Drosophila melanogaster: one gene and its partners. The protein of the gene in region 1 purifies or fractionates together with the protein of each later gene. This does not show direct contact. Each region holds a gene or a part of one and is shown in the gene's direction. Other genes may lie near its edges. The genes, in order: mst, PDCD-5, Pfdn4 and CCT4.

What was found.
Region 2: the proteins of mst (region 1) and PDCD-5 purify together in Drosophila melanogaster (affinity purification with mass spectrometry, with the first as the bait; one large-scale study listed by BioGRID). This does not show direct contact.
Region 3: the proteins of mst (region 1) and Pfdn4 purify together in Drosophila melanogaster (affinity purification with mass spectrometry, with the first as the bait; one large-scale study listed by BioGRID). This does not show direct contact.
Region 4: the proteins of mst (region 1) and CCT4 purify together in Drosophila melanogaster (affinity purification with mass spectrometry, with the first as the bait; one large-scale study listed by BioGRID). This does not show direct contact.

What each region holds. Positions count from the first base shown.
Region 1 is NC_004354.4:21,385,946-21,394,654, forward strand, and holds mst (misato), read left to right. Parts: upstream 1-3,031; 5' UTR 3,032-3,066; coding exon 3,067-3,147; intron 3,148-3,202; coding exon 3,203-3,932; intron 3,933-3,991; coding exon 3,992-4,905; 3' UTR 4,906-5,588; downstream 5,589-8,709. Other genes in the region: Ddx56 (DEAD-box helicase 56), read right to left, coding at 1-346, 405-833, 1,029-1,780, 1,841-1,906.
Region 2 is NT_037436.4:16,228,757-16,236,196, reverse strand, and holds PDCD-5 (programmed cell death 5), read left to right. Parts: upstream 1-4,158; 5' UTR 4,159-4,294; coding exon 4,295-4,357; intron 4,358-4,608; coding exon 4,609-4,723; intron 4,724-4,780; coding exon 4,781-5,004; 3' UTR 5,005-5,116; downstream 5,117-7,440. Other genes in the region: l(3)72Dp (lethal (3) 72Dp), read right to left, coding at 1-584, 645-874, 935-985, 1,209-1,420; Hsc20 (heat shock protein cognate 20), read right to left, coding at 2,167-2,554, 2,615-2,727, 2,780-3,001; MED10 (mediator complex subunit 10), read right to left, coding at 3,538-3,817, 3,874-3,995; Tmx3 (Thioredoxin-related transmembrane protein 3), read right to left, coding at 5,426-5,815, 5,873-6,496, 6,554-6,792, 6,857-6,896.
Region 3 is NT_037436.4:5,365,156-5,372,288, reverse strand, and holds Pfdn4 (prefoldin 4), read left to right. Parts: upstream 1-4,280; 5' UTR 4,281-4,344; coding exon 4,345-4,389; intron 4,390-4,514; coding exon 4,515-4,886; 3' UTR 4,887-4,948; downstream 4,949-7,133. Other genes in the region: membrin, read right to left, coding at 4,971-5,484, 5,554-5,690; Uev1A (Ubiquitin-conjugating enzyme variant 1A), read left to right, coding at 6,133-6,160. UniProt on the Drosophila melanogaster protein: Binds specifically to cytosolic chaperonin (c-CPN) and transfers target proteins to it. Binds to nascent polypeptide chain and promotes folding in an environment in which there are many competing pathways for nonnative proteins.
Region 4 is NT_033779.5:12,685,787-12,694,726, reverse strand, and holds CCT4 (chaperonin containing TCP1 subunit 4), read left to right. Parts: upstream 1-1,792; 5' UTR 1,793-1,904; coding exon 1,905-2,010; intron 2,011-2,509; coding exon 2,510-3,162; intron 3,163-3,224; coding exon 3,225-3,364; intron 3,365-3,423; coding exon 3,424-4,108; intron 4,109-4,171; coding exon 4,172-4,189; 3' UTR 4,190-4,391; downstream 4,392-8,940. Other genes in the region: IFT43 (intraflagellar transport 43), read left to right, coding at 1-153, 210-233, 301-423, 479-740; CG6153 (uncharacterized protein), read right to left, coding at 883-1,007, 1,071-1,261, 1,325-1,644; pdm2 (POU domain protein 2), read right to left, coding at 8,902-8,940.

The sequences.
Region 1 (8,709 bases):
GAAGGCAGCCTTGGCGGCCGACTGTCGTGGCTGTTTGGCTTCCGAGGCTCCGACAGGGGAAGAGGACGTTCCAACCACTCGCTTCAGGGCCTTTGGCACTATGTACTCGGGCATGTCAGAGAGATGACTCTGTACCTTGATGGCGCGCAGAGGCTTGTCGTGCCGAAGCGCTTGCAGATCGCGTTTGTTCTCCTCGAAAAATGCCTTTAGTTTCTCGCAGTTGAGGATCTCTATCTTTATCTCTCGAATTCGAGTGTCGTGAACAGCTACGCGAGTTGCGGCCCGCCAGCAATCCTGAGCACGATAACGGAAGGACTCAACTTCTTCCATTTTAAACTGGTAGTTCCTGAAGTGATGGCACACTTAGCAATATTACAATTTTGAAGATGTTATTCTATACTCACTTGATGATCTGTTCGCCCTCTTGGGCTGCAAAACTATCGCACAGTTTCTTCTCAACTGAATCGTTTACCTTGGACTCCTTCATGCTGACAAAGGACAAGACGGAGCCCTTGTTATTTCCTCTAGCCGTCCTGCCAGCCCGATGGATATAAGACGTGACATCCCTGGGGAAGTCGAAGTTGATTACGTTGTTCACGCACTGAAAGTCAATGCCGCGGGAAGCACTCGACTCCATGTCGCCGCTTCGAGGAGATTTTCGGTTAGTCGCTGATTTGCCTCCTGGCTTTTCCATATGATGTTCGTCGGAGGCAATGATTATGTCGTAGGTGCCCTTGTTGAACTGGCTAATTGTGTGGATGCGAATGTTGGCAGGCAGCTCGGAGTTCAAGACACAGGCACGGATGCCGAACTGCTCTAGGAACAATCGAACCCTGAAACATTTAAATGGGTAATAATTAGAACGAATTATAGTAAGTATTTAGGGGCGGATGGGAATGCCGTCAGCGAGAAGATTAGTTGCTGGTCATGCGTGCGCCAACTGTTGCCAGCTGCCCACTCCCTGCATTTGTGGTTTAATCATCATTGGCTCCTGTGCATCTAAGGCGGGATTCGTATGGTTTACTCACTTGTAACACCGATCGATGCTGTTCACAAAGATTATGCTCTTGCCGCGTATGAGTCTCAGCTTCAATAAGGCGTACAAGATAGCCGGTTTATCGTTTTCCTCAGCCAGAATGCGCTGGTGCGACAACTGATCTTGCGGCACCAACTCCGGCTCCTCGAGTTTAAGCGTAACCGGGTTGTTCAGGCACAGGCCTTTCATGCGCACCACATCGTCGGTTAGAGTAGCGGAGACTAGGACAGCCTGGTAGATGGGAGGCAGGTGCTTAATCAACCGCTTGAAGTCCTTTTCGTAGCCATAGGCAAACACCAGATCCGCCTCGTCCACCACCAAGGTCTCCACATGCTTCAGATCCACCACGCTACCAGCCTCGGCGTAGGCCAGCAAATTGGCGGGTGTGGCAACCACAATGTCGGGACTTTCAGACAAGGCGTGCCGCTGGGTCACCGTGTCGTTGGAGCTATCGGCAATGTCCGCCACGCGTACAACCTTGCCGCAGGACTCGACCAGCTGCTCGATCACCTTACGGGACTGCCGGCATAGCTCCTTGGTGGGCGCCAGGACCACAGCGCTCACATACTGCTCGCTGGCGTTCAGTTTGGAGTTAAGGATCTTCTGAATCAGTGGCAGGGCGTAGGTGGCAGTCTTGCCGGATCCGGTGCGGGCGCGCACCACCACATCCTTGCCCTCCAGAAGCAGCGGTATCGCCGTCGACTGGATAAGTGTGGGCTGCTGCCAACCCAGCTGGGCCACCGCCTGAAAGATGAGCGCAACACTTTAAAATCTGGAACTGTCGGTCGCAAGCCGGGCACTCACCTTAAGGATGCGCTGATCCAGCTCCAGCTCGTGGAATTGCACCGTTTTCTGGGTCATCTGGCTCATGGTGGGCGACGGTATAAAAAAAAACGCTGGAAAATGCGCAGCGCACGTTTTCTGGCCCAACAAGAAAAAGAGCGAGGCATCGGTCCATTGAATTATCGGCGACTTTATCGGCTTATCGATAGTTGAATTAAACAGTTATTGAAATCTACTTTTAAAGGTAAGCAAATACCTTTAAAAAAAATTTAATATATTCCATTTATTAAATTAAATAAATAAAAAGAGAGAATGCCATAGTCGAGTTCCCCGACTATTAGATACCCGTTACTCAGCTAGTGTGAATGCGAACGCGAAATTTCATCATTTTTCTGGGATATCAATAGCTAATTGGGGAATAAAATTAGAAAAAATTTATAAAGTTTGGCTAGATCGACTCGGCTCCTAATCCTTAATCCTGATCAAGAATATATATACTTTAAATAGTCGGAAATGCTTCCTTCTGCCTGTTACACAATCTAGTATACCCTTTTATTCTACGAGTAACGTGTGTAAAAATCAGCAATTAAATATTTTAACTTAACATTGTATAGCACCTTAACTTCTTTTCTAGTTTATTAGAGAAATCTCATAATTCGCTCTTTTCTGACTTATTTATCCTCCGTCTGAATGGATATGTGAATCTATGGGAATCGACAATTTCTTTAAAAATACGTTTAAGCCGACTTATAGCTTCTTCTTTCGGAGATCCTATTTATAAGGTTTCACCGTATCGACCGAAAATAAAATCCGTTGCAATCCAATAACTAAACAATTGGAGCCACAAACGCTACCGTTCTTTTTTGAGATTTTACCGTATGACTTGATAAGTTTGCAATCGGCTTTTGCGGGTTACATATTAAGGTTGTTATGCTCTATTGTAAAAATTCCTCGTATTTCTTATGTTTTTTTTCTCAATGTGATAGACATTAAGGTCATATCGATATATTTACATACATAAGTAAAATTAATAAACATAACATATTCCTATAAAACTTTCAAAATATATAAATCTTTTTTGCAGTTATAAATAATATTTTTAAATATATTTATTTTTAATACAGAGTATCCAATCAACGAAATTAAGAACGCTTATTACCGCACACAGCTATCGATATATCCGCGAAAATCGATAGTTCCGCGGGCTCGCGCAATTGCATCCGAATTAGTCACTTTCGCCGGCTGTTATGGACTATACACGTGAAATTTTGACCTTCCAGTTCGGAACGTACGCGAATTACGTGGGCACACACTTCTGGAACCAGCAGGTGAGTTGTCCTACCCACTTGGCAGCCGGGAGCCTCACGAATTACACATTTCCAGGAGGCCAACTTTAGGTACGGAGACGAAAGCGAACAGGTGGCCGAGGAGCAGCTGCCCAACAATGATATTTTGTACCGTGAAGGGCGCAACGACCTCAATCGTACCACCTACACGCCCCGCCTGCTGTCCGTGGATTTGTCCGGGACCCTGGGACATCTGCCGGTGACCGGCGAGCTGTACGGCAATTTTGTGCAGCGTGATGAGGAGTTGCTGCCCCTGAGCACCGGAGAGGAATTGGAACAGGTTCGCAAGCGGGCAGAGGAGAGCGGCGTATGCTCACCGGAGCAGCTGGAAGTGCAGGAGCAGTCGAAGGCCTCCATTTCCGAATATCAGCGGGATCTGCTCAAGAATGCTGTGGTGCCCGAGAAGAACTATCAGCTGGCAGCGACGGCAAACAGTTGGGTGGACTTCCTTTACGCCAGGTATCACCCGAGAACCTTGAATGTCTTGCCGGGGCTGATCCGAGATCCGACTGCCCAAGCCCTGGGTACCTACTCTGCCGGAACAGAAATGTGGCAGGAAGTCTCCTTCAACGAGGAGTTCTGCGATCGTATCCGTTTGTATGTAGAGGAGTGCGATGGCCTGCAGGGCTTCCACGTGCTGTTCGACATTGACGATGGCTTCGGCGGACTGGCTGGGAAGTGCCTGGAGCACCTCAACGATGAGTACAGCCGGGCGAGTTTCGCGCTGCCACTTCACTATCCCAGGATCACTAGTTATCCCCAAGCGGGTAAGTAAGGTGATTTTTAAAGAAATCTAGCATATTAACACAGTTTGCCCAATTCCCAGATACCCGCCTGTCGCACAGCATTCGGGTGGTAAACAATGTGTTGGGCTACCACCAACTCAGCGAGCAGGCTTTGATGTTCACGCCGCTATCCACGCTGGAGACCATCTGGCGAAACAATAATCTGAAGTCGCGCAGTCTGCCGGGACTCCAGTGGGAGACGGATAACCTCTACCAGACATCAGCGCTGCTGGCCGCCTTTTTCGACACGGCCACCTTGAGTTACCGCCTGCGGCAAACGCCAGAATCTTTGCTACGCTTTTGCGAATGCGTCACTCCAGCGGGCAGAAAGATGACCGCCGCTGGATTGGCTCTGCCATTTGGGCTGAGGGAGGGTCAGGATCTGATAGAGTTTCTAGACCAGAGTGGCGACCACGCGCTGCTCACACAACTCACACCGGGCTGTGAGCCTGGCACATCCTACGTGGTGCAATCAGTGACGGCTCGTGGCATTCCCGCGGAACGTTTGAAACGGCCCAGGGAGCTGGCCGGCGATCAACTTCGGATGGCTGCCTATAGCTGCGATAGTATATCCCATATGCTGCAGCTATACTACCAGTGCACCTATCATGGAAGTGTTACAAATGCGGCAGCCACACCACTGCCACTAAAGACACAGCTACCTTTTCCTTATGAAATGTTTGCAGCCGGTATATCACGCGATGGCTACCGCTTGCCTGAGGGGGCGGAACGCGAGACGGGTAGTCGTGTGGATTCGGCACCCATGCTGGCCGCCGTACAGAACTCCACCAAGCTGGGCGAGCATCTGGACAATGTGCACGCCCAATCGCATCGAGTGCAGCTGGCCAAGTTGCAAGCGTACTCTAATTCTGGATTGGAGCGGGATGAGTACGATACGGCGCTGGATCAGCTGCTTGAGTTCCGCGACCTTTACGCAGACTCGCAGTATCTATAGGATGCTGTGGTTTTGGAAACTAAGATTTTGTGATAAGCCTAGGATTATGTACACAAAAAACACTCGTATACAGTCGAATTCAAGATGAATATGTCATTTTATATTGCCTCCGAATTATATTTTCGTTTAGTTCAAACGACATAATTTGATTAGTTCTTGTGCATTTATTTCTGTTAAATTGTAATTCCCTTAGAATTCCTATATCTCTTTTATTTTTACGACTCTCGTGAAGATTGTTGTAACCAAACTCAACCTATCGATGCATATATTATTTGCTTAGCTTAAAATGTTCTCGAAACCATTGTTACGGCCTGTATGTATAAGCTTAATGTGCCATGCTCCTTGTCCTCTAAGGTGTCAGGTTGGTTAGCTTTACCCGGAGCGGAAGTTGATGGGCTGTGGCCCCACCCGCGGCACTTTGTGATTGGCAGTCTCGGAAGCGGCTTTGATATTTTCGCGTTTCCAGGAAAGCGAGGAAAGTAAAAAACAAAACAAAACAAAACAAAAACAATGTTGTCTGGGCAGAGAATTTTGAGAGTCGTCAATGAAGTTTCTAATAACGCAGAATGGTCGAAATGGCCAATTTGATAAGTATTTAAAAAAAATGTTTAATTCTGAGCGGTAAAACGTTTGTGACTACAAGGTCTATAATTACATCGATTTATATCTTTAGTTTCTCAGCTGAATTCTTGGAATTTATCTGCTGTTAAAAACCTTGTCTTAAACTATTTGCTTACTATAAACATTTTGATTGGCGTACTAATGTTAATGGTGTTAAAAAACATTTTAGGGATAATATGTAATAAAAGGTGTTTGAGCTTGGAAATCGTTAATCTCATTATATCTCATAATAAATGTTGGCTTTCATCGTTAGGAAGTTATTAAATTATGCGTGCCGGATGGGCTATTTCGCCCACTGTGCGACCATGACGACATGGACGTGCCTAAAGAAATCGGTGAATTTTTATTTGCATGGCAATCAATTTTTATTCCTGCTATCCTGGAAAAGGCCAGGGGCATATTAATTTATTGAAAAGGTCTTTATTAAAAAGGATAGACTCTATAGTCAAAAAACTGAACTAACTGTTTTGGGACTAATGAGTTTTTACTTGCACTAAACATAAATTAAAGGGATGTGTGCTTTTATTTCTGAATTACTTTTATCTATGTAATTTGTCAGCTTTTTTACAGATTTTCTTTTTAAAACTCTTGCCTTTATGAAATATAAAAAAAAATATAAAACAATCGCTATGCTTTCATATCAAACACAAATAACGCCACGGACCTACGCAACCACTGGGTAACCGGAATTCGGTCTTTTGAATTGGTTGCCATCTTCTCCGTTGACCCCAAGGACCCTTCCTGGTCGACTTCACCTTTCCGCGACGTCTACGTGCGGCTACTGGCCGCTTTGTTTAACCTTAACCCTTACGGATCGGATCGAATTGGATCGGGAGCTGGGCCGCTTAATTTATACGAAAATTTATTGTCAATAAAGCGGCAGTAATTGAAATCTCAACGGGAGTAAATCACAATTTTATGGACTGCTAACGGGCGGCGACTAGGTGGATGGGATTGGGATTGGGATTAGGGCCTGGAGAAGGGGGTTCATAATTTGGGCGAGTGTTTTCCGTTTGCCGGTCAAGTTTTCCGCACCAGCCCTGCGTCCTGCGTCCACATTGTTTTGCAAATTAAATTTCAATTTGATTGGCACCGCTCCTTTAACATTCTGCCGTCTTTTTAGCACAGGTCCTTAAAGCAGCTGCTGTTCTCTAGCTGCTGCTGGTGTACTTCCGGGGAAAAAGGACCAAATCCGAAATTAAAATTACGCCAACGACTTTAATGGAATATGTGCGTGGAATTCGAAATGCCAAATTGAATAGCCTGCCGAGCTAGTGGAGTGTATATATTTCGTATATTGTTTTTTGCAGCTTTTAATTTTGTTTCGTTTTCGTTTTCATTTTCGATTCGGACCGGTCCGGTCCGGTTCGGTCTGCATGTGAATTGGGACGAGTCCTTGCATTAGCATGCAGTCCTGTCACTGCACATCCAGCCGCCACTCACTCCACCTGCAATACATGTATTTGATTAATGTGGGCTGCACCAGCTCTGATCCAAACACTGGGCCACTCACTGGGTGTCAACTTCTGTAGAATTTAAATTTAATAATCAGGCAGATCTTTAAGCGCCTGGAATGTGGGCATAAAACCAGGCGAGGCATGTAAAATAGTTTCATTTTGTAGGCCAAATTTGCACAGCTCCAATCTAAAACGTAAAAGAAGAAGTTAATATTTTAACTGGGACACAGGGACACTGGGACACTGGTAGGTACACTGAGAACGAAATGCATAATTGCATTGGAATTTAATGTCATCATAAATTCGTAATTATTTAAAACTCAAAATGCCTTAAACCTGAAGTTATTCAACATGCACATATGTATGTAAGGAATGTTGACGGCTGTATCCGGCAGCTAGTCACCTTCCAGGTGGCAAGTGTCAGGAGCGCTAATGAGCTTGGGTAGGAAGAGAACACTGTGACGAGTTCTGTACGGATTTCGGAGGCCAGAAATGGGAGCCATTGGTGGATTACTTATGGATCGCTCTACATTGATCCAGATCCTATGATCGAATAAGACACCAAGATCTGGGACAGTGTCGGTGGGTTCTCTGGTGCAGTTATGTGCTAATACGTCGCGAGCCTGATCTAATCAGTATTAAGCAGTAGCTTCTTGGCTTGGCATCAGGAACGATGGTTATTGAAGTCGAGCTGGAGCTGCTTGTAGAAATTAAGCGAGTCTAAGTGCATACACAACTTAACTCACTCACTTGATCTAAGATGGTTAATAGTATTAGGCCAGTATAACTGGCTCGAGGAACTCATTGAGGATATGGTTTTAGATTGTACTAATTAGATTCGATTCATTTATAAAGGATTCCATATTAGCAAGGCTGAAGGGATTCCAATGACTTCAAGTTTTTGGATTAGTATGTGATGTGATGGCTATTATTTAACGCATAAAAAACTAGTTTTTTTTTTTTATAGGAATATAGGCATTTATTAAATATCAATAAAGTTGCCATACATGTTAAGATATATTTGTTAACATTTTTTCTTTATATAAAATTTCATTTCGAATTAGTTTTATTCAACAGATCTCGCTTTTAAGTTGACTATTATTTTTGACTCCACTCAGCTGTATGATTTAATGATTTATGATCAATCTATGATTGCGAGAATCTACCGCGCAATTTTTTAATCGGTTTCCAGGTTTCCCGATTTAGAGTTGACTAGTTGACTAGTAAAGTAAAGCACACAGTAATGTAATCCTAACGTTTCTCTCTGTATCCTGAGCTCCGTTATCCCTTTATCCCTTCGTTTTCAATTAGCTCCTTCAATTACTCAGTTGGTCAGCTACTTAAGTGCTCGGCTTGTTCGCCCACGCGGCAGTTGATTTTTAATTTCTGCCCGTCTTGGCAGCCCCCATCATCCGCACCCGGCTATATCTGTGGTTCCATCGCCGTCTGGGCACTTCATCATCCGGCGAAGGTACTCGGAGGCGGCGTCCGACACTCGGCTCCCGCGGCCAAAACAAACTTAACAAAGTTAGCTAAATTTGGCCGAAGGCGTCATTTTAACTGCCGCTTACTACCACCCACTCATTCGGCTGCCACCCACCGCCCTTCGATGTCGACATTTCAATGCCTTTTTAATCTAGAACAAAAGCAAACTTAATTTGCCACAACATCTGAGGAGATAGCAAAAGGACGACAGCAGAGGGCCAAAGGAGGGCTAGCACGGGAA
Region 2 (7,440 bases), on another chromosome or scaffold:
TAAAGGCATAGTGGTAGAACCGTCACCGCCTGGTACAACAATGGGAATGTAGCCGCCACTACTACCCCCATCGTTATTGCCGCCCTCATCAGGGATCTCCGGAATTTCGGGTATTTCCATTTCAACATTGGTAAATAGGTATTGCTGTATGTACGAGGAGCCCAGAATCGAAGTATACTCCGGCTTATAATTGTAGATGAGCGTCCTGGCCTGCTCCGTGGCATTCGAAAAGCTCTGATTACTCTCCCTCGCCTCACTCACAAAGAAATCGGCGAAGAATTGACCACTTAACACAGCAGCTGCGGTATGGGGAATGCTTGTCTTTGTAAACTCGTACAGCGGTTTCTCCGGATGGAATTGTACTCCATAGAAGGGGTACTTTATGTGCTCTACGGTGGAAATAAACTCAACGCCATTCCAGTCATGATTTAGGGACATAACCCGCCAAGTTTCGTTTAGTAGATCCCGCTCGAAGTCTTTTTCCGTATAGCAGAACTGATGCCAGTGATAGGTCACATTCTCTTTGACCATGGTGTCCACCACATCATCGGTGATGGATGCAAACAGGCGGCTCTTCTTATAGTCTAGATAAAAATATGTAGATTCAGCATTCGGAATATATAAATTCATATAACAAACTATACCTTCTTTAAACTCCATAGGCACGGCCATGCCGGTCGCTTCGCAATTAATGCGGTGTTCCGTTTCGTTGGCCAGCTTGTAAACCAATAGTTCCATGCCCAGACAAGTGCCCCACACCGGCATAAAGACGCCCTGATCATTTAGTTCAATGGCCAAGTGGATGAGGTGTTCGCCCGCATCCGCATACCCATTACTCTGATTAAACCAAGTGGCTCCACCGGGCAACAAGACTCTATTGAAGTAGCAATAAATTTAGATGCGGGAACTTCCTAGAAAGTATATTTATACTTACCCATTTATCTTGCGCATGAGATCGTCGTAGTAGCTGCGATTGCGACCGATCCTGTCAAAGGTATTTGTATGAAAATTGTTTATTAATTGATTTCAGGCAATCTTATCAATACAACGAAATTTCGGTCTCCAAATCAAATTTACTCTCTAATGAATTTATGTTCTATAAATACACGTGTCGGAATACTTAATGCCACCCTACCCTATTCGACCTTATCGAGCAGTGGCAGAATTACCGGTCACGATAAGATCTTTGAATCTTTCTGCTCACTTACCAAATCGGCACTACTCGGGCTCCAGCTCCTTCGAGATACTTCACATACGAGGCGGCTATATAGCTGGTCTTGTTATCAAAATGTCTCGAGATCAAACCATCGACGTAAACTTCCTGTGTGAGAACCCCTATGATGGGCGATGAGATGCCAGCCTCTGAAGCGGCCAACAGAGCTCCGATGAAGATCAGCAAGCTGATCGAGAACTTCTGCATTTTGTTAGATCTTAAAACGAGTATTTTATCTTCCGAAATATCCGTTTTTCTTTGGTTCGGTTGGAGGTATCTTCAGTTTCCTAAGTACCTTGTTATGAGCTATTGATTATTCCACAGGTAATTCTTTAAAAACACGCTAAGTCGGTAAGCTAGCTTTCTCAGGGAATTCTTTCTTAGCTTGTTGTTTTAATTATTCGCAAGTTTTCCGGCTGCCAGAAGTATTTCCCAACGGGAAGTCTTGGCAAGGGCACAGGTGAGTCCAACCTCGGTGACCAATTAATAGGAACTGTCCGCTGAGGCAACAGTCGATTTGAATTTATATAAGGTGCGACGATTTTCCTCACCTATACAAATGGCTCAGGCTGTGTGCGTGGGCATGAGTTTGCGATGTGTGATTTCTAGGGCCTTCGGGGGGTGTACCCCTGGCGACTTGAGTCCAGCAGATAGTACTGCGATTAATTGATTATATTTTTTTTCCAAAGTATTGTGACCGTGGCACAGGGTGCTCAATGAGAAGGGGAATTACTCCTGGGGCTTCCATCGAAAGTTGGATAAAAACCTGTTTTATTCGGGCACTATTGGATAATTAACTAATTGCATCGATCATAACTGTTCAGTCGCGATTTTTATTCACATTATAAAACAAACGAAGTCTGTGTTATTGTTTACTTAACAGCTGATAGATAGCAACAGGCGGACGTGTGTGTGTGCGATCAGAACCGATTGCCAAGTCGATTAATGCCAATTCAGCTGCCCAGCAAACTTTGTTGCTTCTGTTTAATGCTGTTCTGAATACTCAGCAGGTACTTCATCTCTACGAGGGTTTCTTTGACTCCCGAAAGATCTTTGCTATCGAAAAGGGCATTTAACTTCCGGGCCATCTCCTCCAGTTCCTTGATGAGCTGAATATTTAAATTCTCCAGCGTTTGGGTGTCTTCCGCATCCTCCACCTCCTCGTTCCGCTCCATCATGGCCATGAGAAACTCTTTGTTAAGAGCGCTATTATCCTGCGGCATCTGTTCGCCCTCCAGTTGAAGAAGGTACTGACCACGATCTATGGGCGTGGAAAGCGTTTTATATGCCTTGTTGATGAGGGAACTCCAGTCTGAGGAGTTTGTTTGCTCCCGTGAGGTTCTGTAAACAAGGGGATTTTATCGTTGCCTTCCTGATTTTATCACTTATGACTATACCCACTTATTACTATATTTATCGGGATGCACAATGGTCTGCAACTGGCGAAAACTTCTTGTCAACTTCTGGGACTCCAAAGAAAATTGAATGGGAAAGCTGAGCAGTTTAAAGTAATTCTACAGAAACTAAAAGTTAAATTAGCCAAATAAAATGTAGATAAGTACTAACTATTCCTGAGTTAACATCCTGCAAGTGTCCACAGTCCGAACATATCATATTCTGCTTTAATTCCGATTTCTTTTGGCAATTCCAACAAGCCGGCGAAGATTCAACTGAAAATTTCCGTATTTCTGGCAACTGGAATTGATTAAATTGTGCTGCATTTCTAACAAGCGGTGTATAATTTGTAGCTTTTACAGCACTTTTAAAGCCATTAATAACTCTACTCATTTTCTACAATAAATTTAACTGAATGATATACACAATCGAAGCCTTTAATTACACAAGCTGATAATAACAAAAAACAGCTGATATGAAACTAAGGTGGCAACGCTACTGCTTTGCGACTATCGAGCTTAAAACTTTTTAAACTATTTCATTTAACTATTAAATATTGACATTTATGACGTTTAAATAGTCATTGGTCTATTTAAAATGTAAGACCTTAAAAATTGTTAATTGAAATTAAGTAATTAAATATAGTATAACTTATTCATAGAAACAATTCAATTTAATAAAGTTCAAATAGGATAGAGGTTCAATATAAGCAAAAAGAAAAGGAAGGTAAAAATATACAAATTAATGTCTTTAATAAGTAACATTTTATATATATACATAAGAAAATATCAGACAAAGAGCAGGAAAGTATACCAACATATAGTCTTAATGGATAGTGAAACACAGAGTTTTATGTACAGAAGTATAAATTTATTCCAACATGTGGCTTACAATCTAAAGTTCAGGTCGCGTGTCCTTCGAGCACGTCCTTACATGGAGTCCTTGCGATAAGCGCGGTAGTTGTTCATCTCATTGGGAAATGTTTTATACAGCTCCAGCAGCAGATTCGTTTTGAACTTCTTCAGGCCCTCGATCTTGCCCTTGACCTCCTCGTTCTTGGCCAGTGCCTTCTCCACGCAATCCTTGGTGTACAGCTGAGGATTCTTGTCTTGGTCGATGTAGTCAAAAAACACTTCAAATGGCACATAGACGTCCTGCACCTGGGAGCGCAGCTTGTCGATCTCTTGTAGGCCGGTCACCAAGCTGTTACTAATGGTGCACATATTTATAGACATTTGATCAAATAAATTTTAGCATTTTCTTACATTTTCTGGTTGAGTACATTTTGACCCTGTGGCTGAAAATCGCTTACGATTATGCGGATCTGACGAACATTCTCGATGAACATCTCTAGCTGGGTCTCAAGGTTCTCTAGCGGTGCAGACATTTTTAACGATTCAAATTCGTTCCTTATTTTGTGGGTATTTCGTTAATATGTTTGTTTTCCTTGGCAAATATTTTATTTTTCTTCGCAACTCTTCTTCTTCTAGAAAACACCGAATGACCAGGGCTACTCAAACGCAATTTTGAGCATTCGGATTTACGAATAAGCAAGGAATAGCAAGGTCACACTGTTCAATCGCACACTTTTTTTGCTACAAAGAGCGTGATTTATTTTTATAGAAGCAAAAAAAGCAATAATTACTTAATTTACTGCCATAAATATACTGAGAATAAGAACCCAGAATGTCGGATAGTGATTTGGATGCCTTACGCGCGCAGCGCATGTCCCAAATGCAGTCGCAATTCGTAAGTGAAATATTTGAGTGGCTCCAAACCGGCTAGATTCCTCTAGAGAATTCCAAAAATAGTCATAACTTGGAATGAAAGCAAATTAGACTATATAAAATATAATAAAAATGTTAAGAATACATTAGCAATGGTATGCTTTGTTAGTTCTTATAGACACCTTCCCTATGAGTCATCCTTCTCGACTGGGACACCTGTTTCTTTAAAGGGCAATCCTTCAATGACCTTAACTCCTTTTTTCCTATTTTTAGGGCGGCGGCAATGATGCGGAAAAGCAACAAGCCCAGCAGGAGCAGATGCGCGCCCAGGAGGAAATGAAGCACTCGATATTATCCCAAGTTCTGGACCAGCAGGCCAGGGCACGACGTATGTGGATCTAGACCTTGAATATCTCTAGCTAATAACTTATAAAATATCATTTAGTTAATACCCTCAAAGTCAGCAAGCCGGAGAAGGCGCAAATGTTCGAGAACATGGTCATCCGCATGGCCCAGATGGGTCAGGTGCGTGGAAAACTTGATGACGCCCAGTTCGTCAGCATCCTCGAAAGCGTCAATGCTCAGATGCCGCAGAGCAAGTCCTCCGTGAAATACGATCGGCGGCGGGCGGCCATCGATAGCGACGACGACGAGGATTACGGCTGCTGATTCGTCCGAAATTCCGCCCAACATCTAATTTAAGTTATGCCCGCTCCTCACATCCGCTAAATCATGTTTATTACTTTTACTAACTTAAAACGAGAAACAAAACTAGATGCCCAAATACGTATGGACTTCTTTGTGTCAGATGGCGAATCTTAAAGCGTATTGGAAGTTCGTGCCAAGCGGCAATGACATACACTGACATAGGACTAGATTTGGCTTACATTTATATGCGGTAGAAAAGTGGTCTAGAGGAGGGGTGGGGTCTTCTACGACTTCTTATAGGGATTTATCATTTCATATTCTTGTATGTTCCTAGCTTTTTATGATCTTGCTCGGAAATGCACTATGAGATCATCTTATTTACTTTCTCTAACATTCACTCGCAATCAAAAGCTTTCACTAGATTCATTTTTAAGTTATCCCTTTACTCCTTCTTCTCGTGATCTTCATCGGGATCTTCTTCTGTGACCAAGCAATCGCCGCAGAAAATAGAGTACATGATGAGCGATAAGAATCCCAATGGCAGGCCGAAGATGACAGTGGTCAGCACGGGATTTCCCAGCCACATATCCCTTAATGCTCTTCGCACTTCGAACAGTGCCCGATTCAAACGTACAAAGTACGTATCTCCTCCATAGGCAATGGCACTTTCGTTGCGGATGGATTCTAGGAAAAGGTGCAGTGCCTGTGGAGTCATTTGCATTGGATCATCTTCGGGTATGAAGTGGTGTTGGGTGCTCGAATTAATCGCTATCAAGTGAGGCGTGGGCAGTTGATCCAAGATAATGGAATGTGCTATTGATGGCTCGCCAATCTGAAATGGAAATATTGATTAGCTCCAAATCGATAAAACTATGATAGAATCACTTACCCATCCAAATTGGAATTTGTCATGATATCGCGCCCTATGCTTTCTTATCACGCCCTCCACCATGTCCCGAAACTCCAGCTCATGCGTGGCTATCTGATTGAGCTTATCCTCCTGTACCACAGCCAAAACCAAGTACTTGTTTGTCTTGAGCAGCTGGTGGATGTTGAACCGAGTGACCTTTGGGAAGAGTGTGAACCTCTCCACGTTCACCCATTGGAAAACGGTTTCGTTCACTTCATTGGGGTCCATTTCGTGCGCCAAATGCCCATGCGGATAGAAGTGGTGCTGCTCTTCTTTGTAGACAATCACCGCTGGCAGTTTCTCAAAGTCAAAGTGTTGGGCAGCGATATCCTCGCTGGTGGCATAGAAAAATCCATGCTCTTGGTAACCTTCAGCTGCAGCATAGTATGTATCCCACACCACGCCCTCCTGTTGGCCTACGAAAATGAAAAATATCGTATGGGATCCCTTTAGCATGTCCACACTCTCCGTTCGCGTGACCAGCTGAACTGGAGGCCCAGACATCCTTAAGGCATAATCCACCAGCTCATCGCGACCGCGGTCTCCGTTGTAGGTGAACTCCATGTTGCCCTTGATGAACATAATGGTGGGATAGCCACGAACCTGTAAGAATTTGGGGATGCTTATAAGGAACTTGGACCAAATATGGTATATTCTCACCTTGAACTCCTTCGCCGCCGCCGGATACTTGGTACAATCTAGGCGACCCACTCGAACGTTGGTGGCATGCAAAGCCTGAGCCACCAGAGCAAAAATGGGCTCCGTTTTCTTGCAGTAGCCGCACCACGGGGCATAGAACATGACCAACCATTGGCCCTCGTGTCGCACATCGATGAACCGGTCACTGAGCTCCAAAACCTTCGAGGATAGCCCCGTCGAACCCAGAGTCAGAAGCAGAGCTGTTGGTTTTGTAAATCATTTAGCATCAGCTTGGATTTTTTCTATTGTTCGTAATTTATTTACCACTTATGAGGCCGAAAATCCACATAGAATTTGGCGACATCCTTGCAGCAGGTTTAATTTGTACTTCCAAGTGTAATTTACGTGCCCCTTATTTGCTATATCATGCTTTCCGTTATTTTAATAGCTTCTTTACTTAATTTAATTAGTTGATTGGTTTAATTTTCAGTTCCAAATTATTTTCCTTCGGACCACAGCAACAACAAAAGAAAACATTTGCAAAAACCACCCCCTTTAGACTGACCAGATGTGGAAAATATCCAAAATACTTAAGGAGATACTCTTTAGTCCAATGCGTAAATTGAACAAGTTTATTTATTAATTTTGTAGTTGTTTGGATTATGTTTTTAAAAGATTATTGAACTCAAGATTTTCATTCTACTATAACCTTAAAACTAAAATGAATTCGAAATAAAAACTAATTAAATTTTTTTATATGCATCTCTAAGAATTTATCTTTAATAATGACATAGTTAATAATTACATTTATAAAAGAATTTTTAATTTTGAAAATAAGTTTTTGAGCGGCCATAGAGCGGCTGCCTAAGGGTTAATCTGGTATATTTTTAGTCAGATGGCAACTCTTC
Region 3 (7,133 bases), on another chromosome or scaffold:
TGCCCAAAATTACTCGCACGTAAAACAATAAATTTTCATAATATCCCGGGTAGCCCAGACGTGTGCCACGCCCCAAAAGCGCCAACGCCCACATAAGGAATGGATGCTGGCCACGTGTAAAGTGCAAAATTGCACCATCAGCGAAATGGGCCAAGTCGGAACATCAGCCACAGACACACACACAAGCTGCGGAATGGGTTAACGAATATATGTATGCATGTATATGTACATATATGTATGTATGTGTGTATGGTTATAGCCATGGCTAAAGGCTCACGGATGGGCTGGGAAATGGGCTTGGCCAGCCAAAGATTAGCGTTATTTGTATGCAAAGCAGCAGGCCAGAGGCAGAAACATTGCAGGCCAGTGTCACCATCCAAAATGCCATTTTCAAAAGTCGAGCTCAGGAGCGACGTTAGGATGGTGGATTTCGGATACAGGAAGACGACTCCTGTTCCAGCGAACACAACGAGAAACGTGTTTCAATTTTTATGACATTTCAATGCAGTCGATGTCAGCGAAACGGGTTGAAAAACATCGGGCGGACATCGGAGAGCTCGTTACGATTTTGACAATTCATATTTTTGGCCCGGGGGCAACAAAATTTGTATACACATTTGCCCCGAACATATCTCAAACATATTTCTGGACAGTTCAATTCAATTGTAAAATTGATCGAAAAATAATAAAAAAAAAAAAAAACGAATATAGAAGATACAAAGGTAGAGAAGGTGGATTGCGCATACGCCATGTGGTATGCGATGGCTGAAGTTCAGCCAGGAAAATACCTTTTATTTGCATTTCAAAGGCATGGCGTTGTGGAGTTCACCTAGCACTCACTCATTATTTATGAATTGAACAGCACAAAATGCTACAGTGAGAGTGATAACCACCATGTATTATTTATGAGACTTCAGCAGTTTCCCCCAATTTCTGTTTTTCCAGGCAGCTCCTTTTTGTGTGGCCCGCCAAGAACATTTATTTTCCGCTGGTTGTGCACATAATGTTGGGGCATTAAAAACAAAACCGCTTATAATTAACCAAAAACTCAATTAAGTGCAGTCACCAGAGCAACAATGGAGATGCAGAAAGTTGGGGTAAAATTTAAGAAACTGCTTTAAATGTAACAAAATAATTAATAATACTATTTCTATGAAGTTACAAAGAAGTTATTTCATTTCCTTGACATTATTTTTCTGACTTGCAGCTTTGTATTTTCTTACTTATTTCAATTGCACTTCAAAGTTAGCAAAACTTTCCAACCTAATGACCATACCATATTCGATCAACTTTACCCTCATTATAAGCACATTAGCCAAGTGTCGCTTATTCCACTTGGCCTATCAGTCATCAGGGTTAATCATATATGTGTAGCTGCCATTATTATTCATTTTCGTTCTACTTATGCCACCTGTCGAGGATCCACTAACAAAACTCGAGTTCCGCCTCATCAGAAGGGACAACCTCTAAGTGAGGCCATAAATCCAGCTGAAGCCTCTCATCGGGGAAACGTGACTCTCATGTGGAGATACAATGAGTGTCTACATATATGAAATGGGTCCGTAGTCTGCTGCTGGCTTGATAAATTAACGCATTAAAGCCATAGCTGAGCTTCCACCACCAAGAGGCGGCTTTTAATAACACAAATTGCAATCGAATCCGAAAAAGTCAAGAGGAACGAAAACGGAATGCGAAATGAGAGCCGATATATGTTAACTCGATTTTCATGGCGTTGGCTCATTCGAACGGGCCAACTTAAAGCATATATGTGTTGTTTTTTTTTTTTTGTACCCAAATTCCCATTAAAACATAAACAATTTCTGTTGTAGACATCGGCTCTCCGGGGAGATTGAGGCAAACCACAAATAGCAGCTGGAAATAAACAAAAGTTGGCATATCTCAACTATAGAATAAAAGGCCAATGACGCAGTCAAGTGCATATGCTGACAAAAAAGTTTATAGAAGCTGTATTTTTTATATATATAATAATATAATATAAATATATATGTATATATATAATATATTTAAAGAAGTGTGTTTCTCTTACATTTCTTAATGTTTCTTTTCTTTGTATATATGATATATTTTTAAATGAAACATAAATTTCATTTTTCTGAGTGCAAGGACCAAACTACAGGATAACTACAACTGACTGCCTGGATCAAACAGCATTTACCGAACCGAATTGTCCTCGTGCGCACCTGTGTGCAATGAAATCGAAATCAAAGCACATTCATCCTGCAAAATGGACAAACAATGAAATAGTTGGGCAAATGTAAATACCAACTGCAAGCAGTCGAAATACATCAATAGCCCAGCAGAGCAAAGTTTAACTATCTATTTTTTTTTTTTGCGAGAAAGAAGGTAGTCATACTTCAACTGCCGGTCGCCAATTGCTGCCAAGTTTTCCACTCGATGGAGATTGGGAAAAGAGGCAAAATCCACAGGAGTCGCAGAAAGGGAGGGGAGGCAGCGGAGCCCGCAGGAGGTGACCGACATGTGTGCCTGGTTTAGTGGAAAACTGATTGACGCCATGTCCTTTGATTTCCCTCGTGTTTCAGGACTCACGCACTGGAGGAGAATGGCCGAAGGATGCGGGACGTAGCGAGTCCTTTTTGCAAGAATCCTGTCCATATGTGGGCATCACTTGATGACCCGAATGTGGGTCAATGGGAAAGGATTCCATCGAAGGCAGCAATGGAAATGCAAACCAAAGGTGTAACCATTTTCGGTGCAAATCTAAAAATGAATTCGATTAACTTTACGTAGAATAAATATATAACTAAACAAGCTTCAAGCAAGAATCATTGAAATAATGCAAACAAATTCGTATTCAATCCTTTTATCATTCATTACATACTTTGCAACGAATATAATATACCCTTTTACTTTGCGATAAAAGGGTATAATAAATTGCAGCAACTTCGTTCGAAATGTTTGCTTAAAGGAAATCTCAAGGATAATCTGATTGCGATGCTAAAGCAATAAGCTGATGAAGTTTTCCATACACAAGTTCGTTACCTAGGATAAAACTCAAAGGACAACTTGTTGCAGCAAACATCGTTTTTGCATGGCGCAATTGCAATTGATGCGATGCAAATGCAATAAATTAGACATCAATTTGCAGCAAAAATGTCCATATTATATATATTATTATAGATCTCCCCCCCCCCTTTTGTTGCAATTATTTGCCTAAAACCGAAATTATTTCAATTTGTGAACTGACAATGTCCATACGGACTTTCGGCGGAAAAGCGAAAGGATAAGCGGAGTCATCGTCAGGATATTAACACTATCACTTCCTGCACTTTCCCACTACCTCGATGGCTAATCTCGAGTTTGTGTCTAATTGCATTTGCATATTTTGATAATATTCGAAAAGGGGAAATGAAAGTGGCAAATGCATTCGCCATTCGAAATACTCAGTTTAATGCGGATTCAAAGGGAATGGAAAATAAGGGTGGAGGCGGGTGTTAGTGAAATTTAATTGCATCGTGCGAAGAAATCCCGTTTAATTACGGCGATTAACTGTAATAATTTATTAGTTTTTGCTTAATTTGTGACATGTGCAAACAATTAGTGATTCAATCGCATGGCCAAAAAGGAAGCAATAATAACTTTGACTAATTAGCTGTGTGCGGTAGGCTTAATTCGTGGCGAAAATAATATGGCTGAATCACAGAAACAATTAATACGCTTTTTTTATTCGTTCGTTAAGTTTTGTAGTGCCACATACTAAAGAGTAGGAAAAAAAAACGTTGATAAGTAATTACTCTCATTGAATTTGCATTATTTGTTAATACTTTACTAATTTAAAAAAAAATTAAAGGAAGTTAGATTTTACCTATTTATAAAATAGTTCGATTTAAATGTAAGCATAGGACATATAATTTTAGCAAATTTTTTTTGTTTTTAAAAAGTAACTGCACTTGAAAATGTTTTTACACAGGATATGTACATTTTAAATGTACTCCACTGTAAGATTACACAAAATCATTTTTTTTACACGTTACTTACACTGTTAAGTGACAAAATTAAAGGTAGCAAATATCTAAATTATTAACCCTACTTATTAAATATTTTATATATTTTATATTCAACATAGTCATAAAAAATTAAACATAACTATTTAAATAAATATAAGTGCTGAAGATATAACAATAAATTGCTAAAGCGGAATCACTTCTGTAAAATAGCCTAACGCCTCGTTCTCTCTGTTAACTGCTCTCCGTTTGTCAACACTAAAATGTTAAACAAATAAAATTTTTTGCGAAGCACCGAAAACAGCAACTGTTTGTAAAATATCATAAATTATTTATTAAATTAATTAAAACCAACGGGAAAATGGCAGCAAAAGTAGCGAGCGGCACGAACAAAGTGTTCCAGAACGTGAGTATGGGTGAATCATCAAAGGACAGCTGACTAAGATGAAAAGTAACCTCACTTTGTCATGGTTTTTTCTGTGCATCTGCTCAATTGAAATTTATGATATATATTTTAAATCGCATTTTCAGCACGATGACGTGCACATCTCCTTCGAGGATCAGCAGCGGATCAACCGCTTTGCGAAGCACAACGCCCGCATGGATGACTTCAAAGCGGAGCTGGAAACGAAGCGCAATGAGCTGAAGAGCTTGGAGGAGGCGCTGGAGGAGATTGAGCTGTTCGACGAGGACGAGGACATACCGTTCCTGGTTGGCGAGGTGTTCCTCTCGCACAAGCTGGAGAAAACACAGGACATGCTGAAGGAGACCAAGGAGCAGGTGCTCAAGGAGATCGCCGGCGTGGAGGCCAAGGCGAAGGTTATCAAGGCGGAAATGGACGAGCTGAAGGCTCATCTGTACCAGCGGTTCGGCAGCAATATCTCACTGGAGGCCGAGGATTAATCCACAATTGATCAATTGTTAATTTAACATTTTACAAAATAGAGTACATTTAATTTAAACTCAACTAAACGCGATGTCTTCAGATTAGAGCACTAGGAAATAGATGATCAGGGCGATGATAAGCAAGGTGACCACCACTCCTCCGATGAATATCCGACGATCCTCGACCAGCCGGCGTTCAATAAGTTTCATCGTGTGATTGGACAGACCCAGTGTGCTGCCTATCGCCTGGATTCTCTTGTGCGCTCCGCCCAGCGTCATTCTCTGCGAGATCAGGCTCTCGAGAATGCCGCTGCCCGAGGCAATCATGTCGTCCACACCCCGATGGGCGTTACCCAGCTGCGTATGATGCTGCAGTTCGTAGTCCAATTGCAGGCGCGTTTCCTCCGGCTGCGCGCTGTTTGCCGTGAATCTGTGATTCAGCAGCTGTTCCCTCTCGGAGATCTCCTGCATCCGTCGCTGTCTTCGTTCCCGCGCCGTCTGCAGTGATGTCTGCAGGTGTCTCAGGTCATATTTCAGCTGATCCACACGAAGTTTGGAGCTTTGTCGCTGCGAAGGTGGCACCTTATACAACAGCACATCCAACCGATCGCAGTTTCTAAACACAAAAGATTTATTTAATAATACAAACTCCTCTTGGGATAATATATATCATTGTAGAACTCACGCGTTCGCCTGGGTAATCTTCAATTGAATGCCGTTTTCCACGTCAAGCGATTCCTGGGCACTGAGCTGACTCAGTCGCTGGAAATCGCGCTCGATGTCCTTTACCACATTGTTGGTTTGGTGGTACAAGCTCTCCATGTCGTTACACCTATTGATTCCGCATTAATTTATGGGCCCGAGAATATTCGCAAATTAATATTTAATCGGTTGCAATTGGTTTGTTTTTAAAAAAGCTGACGCGTTAACATTGGACAGAGTGTCATGTTAGTTAACAGCACTGATAGCAGAGCAGCTGGCTGCCGTTTTTGGTATGACCATATATTATGACAAACTTATCAGCTAATGCAACTATTAAATTTCCTTTTTATTTTCAGAGAATATGCTATATATTGTTAAATAATGATTTTTAATTAGTGACCAAATATTGCACTTGACGGCGCTGTTAAGTGTTACCACTGTTAACGGTGTAAAAATCAGAGTTGTTAAGCAAGCCAAGCAAAACCTAAACCGCACTGGTCACATCGCACTGGAAACGCGTTAGCACACTTTTACGGTATTTTAGCACTTAGCATTAACCACAATGGCGAATACATCAAGTACCGGCGTTGGTAAGAAATAAAATTGATAAATTAGCAATTTGGCAGCTTAAAAATGCGATCCCCGCACGCCCGGAGTTGTTGGCCATCCGTTTTCTGCATTTCCCGCTGACCGGCGGCGATTTTTCCGCCGCTACGGACCCGACAAGCGGACCGCAATGTGATTGTGTGTGTGGTGCAAAACGGGCAAAAAGAAGACGAAAGCAAGGGCGAAAGACGAAAGCCGATAAAAGCGAAATGGGCGAATGGAAATTTATTTTCGCCAGCGGACCACGCTGCTCTTGCAATTTTCCTTGGCCGCGTTTGGCGTTGGAAAAACTCCGTTGCAATTGGGCTTCGTGACTTGACATTTTCCGAAATATCATCCCCGCTCCTTCCTCACTATGTGGCTCTCGCTCGCTCGCTCGCGCACGCTCTTCTTCTTGCCTTCATACTTAAAGTTTTTTCTTTATTTTCCTTATTTTTTGCACACTTGCGTTTTTGCAAGCTGCCTTGTCTTTTCTAATTAAATTAGCTGCCATTTACATTTGCCTGGATTGTTTTTGCAAATGCAGAAATTATGCTTTCGCCCCGCCCCCGCCGACACACCCTCCCCCCGCGCCCATCGTGCTTAATATCTGCGCTTCGCATTTTTTTTTTTTGACTTGTGTTCTCTGCACGAAAATGCGTACAAAGTCACACGGCCGAAAACAAAAACAACACGAGAAGCAGAGCGCAAAACAACAACAACACGTACCCATATGACCCCACACTGAGAGGAAAAGTCGCCGAAATATCACCGAAAATGGTTTATACCATAGAAAATGTGTAGAACAGTCCTTACTAGTTTGTTTCTAAATAGATAAAACTGTCGTTTATAATTATATATATGTATCTTATCTGTACGAGCCCGTGATTATAATTATTTAGAAAGCTAAGTACTTTCTTGCCCCGCCAACCAGAAAATTAAAAACAAGCTGACATTTAACTTAATGACTATATTTAA
Region 4 (8,940 bases), on another chromosome or scaffold:
CATCGACATTACGCTGAATGTCCAGGCGGGCACCCCACCGACCACCTCGGACACGGCCACCTCGTCCACATACAACAATGAATTCGAGTCACATCGACCACCCATTCGTCGCATTTCAGGTGGCTGGGCGGATTCTGGACTCAAAGGATTAAAGTGGGTATGATTAGGCTCGAATTAGGCACATTACTGATTGCTCTATATCTTTTTAGGTCCAAGAAAAACTCCTTTGATGAGTGAGTACAAGTTTATCACAATAACTTCACTTTCCACCGACTGTTATAATGATAAAATTCATTTTAGTGAGCGCTTTAAACAAACAAAGTCGGCTACAAATTCCATACCAACGGATGACATTCCCGTCATCCCAGACATGGATGATGTCAAGGACGAAATCATGCTCAATGAGATTGTAGAACCGCCAACGTAAGCAGAAGCTGCTATATTTCTCTTCACTACGATAATAAGTTGTAATTTGTAGTATTGGCACCTCACGATCTGCTGTTTTGAAGGAGGCCAATTCCGATTTGCTTTCCCAGTACGCCTTTTCAGCTGTGGATGGCTTTGATCTCTCAATCCTCACCGATTGCCTGGTTCCACAGGAGAGCCTCAACGAGAAGGACGATCTCTGGCAGTGGGACAAGCTGTTCACCGAGGTCACGGCTGAAATCCATTCGGATAAAGTGCCCAATATGGGCATGAAAATAGGACCCGATGTGATTCCACCCACACAATATACTTAGTATGATTTAGCCCACAATATCTGTGCAATACAAATGCTCAATAAGTTAAGCGAATACAAAAACATTTCTTGCCTTAAATGATCACAAAATATATACACTACAGAGATACTCAATTAAATTGTAAATTTTAATCTCTATAACCCTATTGGATGGCTCTGCCGACTCCATCGAAAGCCTTTTCCTTGTGATCCGCTGCATTGGCACGGGATTCGTAGTTGCATATGGTTACGCCATGGTAATGAGCTTCTGTGAACTCTCCTCGAAGACCTTTGAATAGTGACTTGGTTTTAGTTGGGAACACAGATAAAACATAGATTGTTGTGAGCTTACCTATATAGTAAATGCGTGTTATGTCTTCGCCAAAATTGCTGGGAAAGTAGAGGGAGAGATGGTGCACGGAGGAGAAGGTGACCACTTTGGGTGAGTACTCGATTTCTCCGCGGGCATCGCGGGTCAGCTGGAACTCCTGGTCGGGCTTTGCTCTGGCATCATCAAAGGTCATCCTGGGTCGGTTCTTGAAGCTGAAAAATAAGATATATGATGAATATAGTAATATTAAAGCAGCCTTGACTTTTGTTCCTTACATTTTGACCATGTTTGGATGGGAGTCATCATTGGCCCCACTTATGATGATGCCCTTGAGCTTGATGTTGCCGGTGAAGGGAATGTTGAAGAGGAGCTCTTCATCCGCATCGCTCTCCACGTACTTGGACAGATCCTGGCGCTTCTCGTACGGCTTAAAGACACTTTTTCCCTGGCCATCCGTCTCCTCGTTCAGGCACTCCACATTGTCCAGATCGATTTTGGTGTACAAGCTGTACTCGATGCCCATTTCTAGGGCGTGGTCCACGTCCGAGGCCTCGTGGCTGCAGCCGCCGTGATCGTGAGAGTGTCCGTGCGGCATTATTTTTATTTTAAATTCAAAAATCGAACAAAAATTCAATGTAAATAAAGCAGCCGAGTCACAACGCAAAATACGGTCACACCAATTTGCCATTCACAAGGGATGATGTTATCGATGCCGATAAGTTGGCGGTATATTTGAGCTCAGCGAGTGCGGCCACACTTTCCTTAACATTTCGCAGCAACGTGTTCTGTGTAAATCGCTGTGAATTTATTGTAGAATAACTGTGTTTTGTTAAAAAACTATAACTTAACCCTACAATGGCGCCCAAGGCAGCAGCTGTCAACATCAAGCCAACGGCCAAGGCCTTCAAGGACAAGTCGAAGCCCACCGATGTGCGTTTGTCCAACATCCAGGCGGCCAAAGGTGAGAAAAAGCGAGGAAATTAACAAAATTAAACACATTTTTGTATCAAAATGTTGGCGTATGTGCTATTTATTGAGCTAAGAACCGAGGTGACTGAATTCCGAGCAGTGGTGCATCAGAATTTCCGGCCAAATGGCCTATTGAAAAAGCAGTTGGATGCCGGCTGTCTGGAAACTTCTTGGGCGGAAGAAGAAGAAGAGCGCGCATTACTCATGTGATGAATTGAAACAACCTAAAAATTGAGGATTTTTAATACTCTATTCCCAATACCCTTTTATCCGCTACAAGGATTTTATTGTTTATCTCTTAAGATAAGTTACAGTAGATTTTTTGAATTAACACATAAAACACCATATGTCTTTTTGTATGTATGTATGTAAATTAGTCATGCTGCTGTGTAAAACTAACCACACGAATTCCACTTATCTGAGTTTCTCATTAAGTTTTAACGAAATATTAAAATACATTTATAACCTATTGAAATAATTCTGTTTTCCAGCCGTTTCCGATGCTATCCGCACCAGTTTGGGCCCCCGCGGCATGGACAAGATGATCCAGGCCGGCAACGGCGAGGTGTCCATCACCAACGATGGCGCCACCATCCTGAAGCAGATGAATGTACTGCACCCGGCTGCCAAGATGCTGGTGGAGCTGTCGCGTGCCCAGGATGTGGCCGCTGGTGACGGCACCACCTCCGTGGTTGTCATTGCCGGAGCTCTGCTTGAGGCGTGCGAGAAGTTGCTGCAGAAGGGTCTGCATCCCACGGCCATTTCGGACTCGTTCCAGCGCTGCTCGAACAAGGCCGTCGAGATTCTTAAACAGATGTCCACTCCCATCGAGCTGGACGACCGCGAGACGCTGATCAAGAGCGCCTCCACCTCGTTGAACTCCAAGGTGGTGTCGCAGCAGAGCAGCCTGCTGGCCCCCATTGCCGTGGATGCCGTGCTGAAGGTTACGGATCCCGGCAAGGAAACCTCTGTGGATCTCAAGAACATCAAGGTCATCTCCAGCCTGGGTGGCACTGTTGAGGACACCGAGCTGGTCGATGGATTGGTCTTCACCTGCCGCTCTGCCGGATCCAACGCTCCCAAGCGCATTGAGAAGGCCAAGATCGGTCTTATCCAGTTCTGCATTTCGGCCCCCAAGACCGATGTGAGTACATCGCTATGATCCTAACAATTTATTGTCTTTTATAATTTATGCCGAAATTACAGATGGATCACAATGTGATTGTATCGGATTACGCTGCCATGGATCGTGTGCTCAAGGAGGAGCGTTCATACATCCTGAACATTGTCAAGCAGATCAAGAAGTCAGGATGCAATGTTCTTCTCGTTCAGAAGTCTATCTTGCGGTAGGTTTAGCTTACTTGTTATTTGTCCACTTTGTGCTGATAGTTCTCCACTTATCTAGCGATGCTGTCTCTGATCTGGCTCAGCATTTCCTGGACAAGATCAAGTGCATGGTCGTTAAGGATGTGGAGCGCGAGGATATTGAGTTCGTGTGCAAGACCCTGCACTGCCGACCGATCGCTTCGCTGGATCACTTCACAGCCGAGAACCTTTCCAGTGCCGATCTGGTCGAGGAGGTGGCCAGTGGTACCAACAAGTTTGTGAAGATCACCGGCATTCAGAACATGGGACGCACTGTCTCGATCATCTGCCGCGGATCCAACAAGCTGGTGCTCGAGGAGGCTGCTCGCTCCCTGCACGATGCCCTCTGTGTCGTCCGTTGCCTGGTGAAGCTGCGCGCCCAGATTGTCGGCGGTGGTGCGCCCGAGATTGAGATGGCCCTGCAGCTAGCCGCATTGGCACAAACCGTGGAGGGTGTGGATGCGTATTGCTTCCGTGCATTTGCCGATGCTTTGGAGGTGATTCCCTCCACTCTGGCTGAGAACGCCGGTTTGAATCCCATTGCCACGGTCACGGAGCTACGCAACCGCCACGCTCAGGGTGAGAAGAACGCCGGTATTAATGTGCGCAAGGGCGCCATCACAGACATTTTCGCGGAGAACGTTGTGCAGCCGCTGCTGGTCAGTATTTCGTCGATCACCCTGGCCACGGAGACGATTCGATCGATCTTGAAGATCGACGATATTGTAAGTGTTATACAAATGAATGAAATGATTTAAATTTAAATGAATGTTTTTATTTATTCACAGGTCAACACCTTCAGTTAAGCAGTGTAATCCGCATTCTTCGGTCGTCTGCCTCTGATCAAGATCAATCTTCACGCAAATTCATCTAAAGTCTCACATCTTATGTCCATTATGCGGTTGCGCATTAAATTTTGAATAAAATTCACATATACACTACGCCTCACCAGCTTAACATGTATTTAAAAAATAAAACTATATGATTAAATACTTCGCTAACACAACCTACATGAAAACTTGAATTTAATTACTGATATGTGCTCTTGTTCTGAGGTTAAATAGTTCTATAAAATTAGTTAATCACAAATTGGAGTAAGGAAAAATGTTTAGGAAGTTCGTACTCATTATATAAAGACTTATATATTCCTTAAGATTAAAAGCTAATACCTTTTGCGGTTAAGCTTATTTGTAATACATATATATTTCCTTCTTAAATGGAATTTCTAAGATTTCATTACAGCGTAAAAGTCTATCAACTAACCGAAACCTTATCTAGTGAGCGAGTTCATTTTTCTTGTTCTTAGCCAACGCCTTGGGTTTCAAAGGGATGGCTCACCCCCAACCATTTCGCACCCCCGCCCCAATCATTGTATTCCGTTTAGGTTTTGGGGATCCTTTTTGTCCTGGGCGTGTAAATAAAAATCACTTGATGCGATTTTTATGATGTGCGTTAAATGATTAAACCACTTGAACTGGTTTCAAATTGTCAAAAAGGGAAGACTTAGGGGTTGGGTTGCGAAAGGGTCTTTATCCTTTTGTTTTCTTAGCCCCATTTTGGAAGTTCATGCGGGTGGGGTTTTCGCTTGGGTGTGATTAGACGGGGACTATCTAACGTGTCCGGAAACTTTCGGCGCGTGTAAGTTAATTAAATGTGTAAACATGTCAAAAGGGATCGAGTTCACCAGCCCACTATCTTCCACCACCCATCTAGGTGATGGCCAAGATGGTGTTGATTTCGGATCACGCCACTGATTGGCTTTGATTTTTTTTTTTAGCCCGTCCAATAAAAGCTATTCCGCTAATTGGCTGCTGAAAAGTTTTAGGGGTTGGTTTTCTATCACTTTTCCGGGAGACGCATGCAAATTTTCCATTTTAAAGTTTATTTGCGCAGCAGCCATTGATTTGGGTTTCCATTTTGACTTGCAGGGGGTGGAAAAGTCAGTGCTCGCTTTTCAGATGAGCATATTCTACATACATTTTTGATAATATGAGATCATTTTCTTTAAACTTAATTTTGTAATCAACATTTTTGAAAATCTCATTAAATAGAAAATACATGTTTTCTTAAGTATTTCAAGTACCAATCTTAAGCTTGCATTTTATCCACCTAAGAAAATGAAGTGTATCAACTCATTCGACTTGAGCAGCACCCCTCTTAGTTATTTATTTTATTTTCGCTACTTTTATATTTTTTAGCTATTTGCTCGACTGTCTTGGGGCATTGTCGTTCACGTCCTCGTTCCCATTTGTTTTTTGAGCAAATATTGAATTTGCGCTTTTTTCCCGAGCTATTTGCTCGCAGAGCCAGTGGCCCACACTTTTGAAACTTTTTATTTCGGGCACTTTTCCTTTGTTTCGCCTGTTTGCTTAATTTTTGTGTGCGATTTTCTTCATCTGCTTTTTGCTCATTTCATATTTTCATTGTAATTCAATTGTGTTTTCCCCGCGTTTGCTGCTGTTGTTTTTTTTTACCCAAATGTTTGCACAAGTCTTATGTTCTCCAGTCGGGCGAAAAGGGCGCAAAGGGGTGTGTATGTCCTGTATGTCCTGTGTGTCCTTGTTACATTTCTTTTTGCCAAACGAATTGAAATTCAAAGCAACGAATTGTCAGCCAGTCACGCAGAAATTTAACATATGCTCGCCATATAATTTGCGAGCACTTTCAACCGAAATTACCAGTGTCTGTCATATCTTAGATCTCGAGTATCTGGCAGATAGAATAGGAACAAAGGATGCTAAAAGATATAAAATGAATCAAATATATAAAGAAATAGTTTGCTAAGTGCAATAGCGTATTTATCGGTCTAAGAATTATGTTAATCTATCTTCCATAATTTGTACCTATTCTTATCATTTGTATCTCGTGTTACTTATTCATAAAACGAAAAAACTTTTTCTGTTTAAAAAAAATAGTTTTTCTTATGTCCTTAGACTTCAAGTATTTATTTAATGGTCCAAACATTTAACAGCTCAGTTTAGCGAAATACTTCCATCTAGTTCATGCCACTCAAGGAGGCAAGACCGAAATGCTTATCAAGAATAGAAATGCTGAAGCAAAAGCATAAAGGAAACTTAATTTTCGTTAGTCCTGCCAAGTGGCGAGTGATTAATGATGTCAGGACGACGACAATATTATGAAAACGCATTCGAAAATTTCATTAAATTGTTATAAATGAATCGGGCGAAACAGGAATGAAACATATTCCGGCGAGAAAATTCAATTTGCAAATGCAGCAAATATTTCAACGTTCGTTGAAAGGAAAGGAAATCAAATCGATCAAATGAAAGCCAAATGAAATCTCGACCGGACGATCTGAAACCACCGGGGTAATCCCCCCGAAATAATAGCCCACGGGGCTTATCAACCCACTTGGACCAGTTCAGGCTTAGGGCACTTTGAATATGACCAATGCAATTGAAGTTTCCCCCCATTGAAAACCGAAATTGCGTCCGCTGCCATTCTTCTTTACATTTTGGCCATGTGGAATGGACGGACGTCGTCTGCACTGGACTGATAACATTCAAAGAGTCCCAAGCCCCCGAGCTGCCCAAAATTCGAGTGCCCGCCAATTAAGTGTGAGTGCTGGAATCGATGGGCTTTTCCTTTTGGCCTCCGTTTGATGTGTGCTAGAGTGTGTGTGTGTGTGTGTGGGCGAATGGCCTGCAAATTAAATGGGGTAAGGATTCTGGTCGAGATTTCACCTCTGGCCAGATTAAAAATTTATTCGCAACTCTGGCCAGCTGCAGGCAAGTAAAAGTTTTAAATAAATATGTGTTGCCTCAAAGTGAAATACATAAATTAAAATTAAAGTAGCCTCTAAAAATCAAAATGCAAAAGGATATGTGTCTATTCAGATTGATTTTAAACCAGGCATATGTAGGTATAAATGTCTATATTTATTCAGGATATTTTGAAGCTTTCCTTAAATGCATAGAAAATATTACTCAATAATATTTATCCAGCTTAAAAAAATGCTAAAAAACCAGTGCTAAGCACATGTGTCCTTTCCACTCCTTTTCACAATCATTTACCTAATTTATTGGCACACTTCCATTAAGATATCTCCATCGAGGACTTGACTCGCTTAAGCGATTTCCAAAGGATACAACTGGGACAACATAAAATACTTCCACTGCCCACATCGTAGTCCAAAAAAAAAAAAACAGCAAACAACACAGGAGCTATATCCATACTACCCATACTACAAGACCAAAATCAACCACCGAGGCGAGGAGCATATGACATAACCATGTGTGAATTGATGGCATGAACCCTTTGCCAACTTCCCCAACTCTATCATTTTTTTAGAGATTCGTGCCCTAAACGAATCAGAGCCCGGCAAACTTTTGGCAGCAGGGGGAAAATCCGGGCCGAGGGATCGGAGTTGGGGGTTGGTAAAAAAAGGATTTACACGCTTGCCTCGATATACAAATAAGGGTTCTGTCTGCGCTGCCATATTGACTGTCGCCGGGCCCAAAAAGATGAAGTGATTTCTTATCCAACAAATCCACACTCGACAACCAAAGCAACCAAAAAAATAAAAAAAAAAGGGGTTGCTGGTTTGGGTCCTTCCTTCGCATCCTTTTGCTGTTTTGGCCCGCGTTTGCCAGGAAGTTTATTAAAAAATGGTCTTGTTTGCCTTTGTCGCGTGGCTGGCAAACGCTTTTGGGGCGGGCCAAGGAAATCAGTTAACTAAATACCTCGTTCAATATTTATTTAGGCTCTGCCTAATGAGATTCGAGTGCGTTTTTATATGGCACACGCTGGAGTAAACCTAAAGAGCTGGCTAATTGAATAATAAGCTAGGGCTTTTCAAAAACATACAGCTGGTAAATATGGGTGGCAAATTAAATGAAACTCCTTTCTTTAGTGCATTGAATAAGATAAATAAAAATAAAATAAATGTTTTTAAAAAATAATATAGAAATGGAATGGAACTAAGCAGAAGATTCTAATATATAGACCGCATATCTTGAACTGCATCTATCTTTGATTACAGTTTCCACCCAATATTAAAATACAGTATGTTTTTTTATAAATTATTTTATCGGAATAATTTTATTGAAATTTTTGGATGTTACGATCTAAGTGTGTTCAAGATCAATTTACAATTGGACATCGTACAACAACATCGGTATACATATACATACACATTTAGGTCAATACACAGTACAGTAAATACAACTAGAGGACTGATTTGTGGCATAATGGATATGGGGGATATGGGGCACAACAGATACACACGTATGGCATTTGGGGAATAGTTAGAACTAGGAACTCTATATGCATACAGATACGAATAGGTAGTATAGTGTACTGGAGCTATATGTACTCATAAATTCGTAATGGATTTTCTGATACGACTGGCTATCACCTAGTTTACTAAATACATCCATGGCATTGTTTGCATTTGATATGGAGAGTCTGGCATGTGGAATGTTGTGGAAGAATTTGGAGCATAAGCTGACTATGTACAAGATTGGATGGATGGATTTCCATGCTGAACCCGCTTCTCCTATTCCCCTGAACTGATGGAACTGCCGCAGAAGGAACC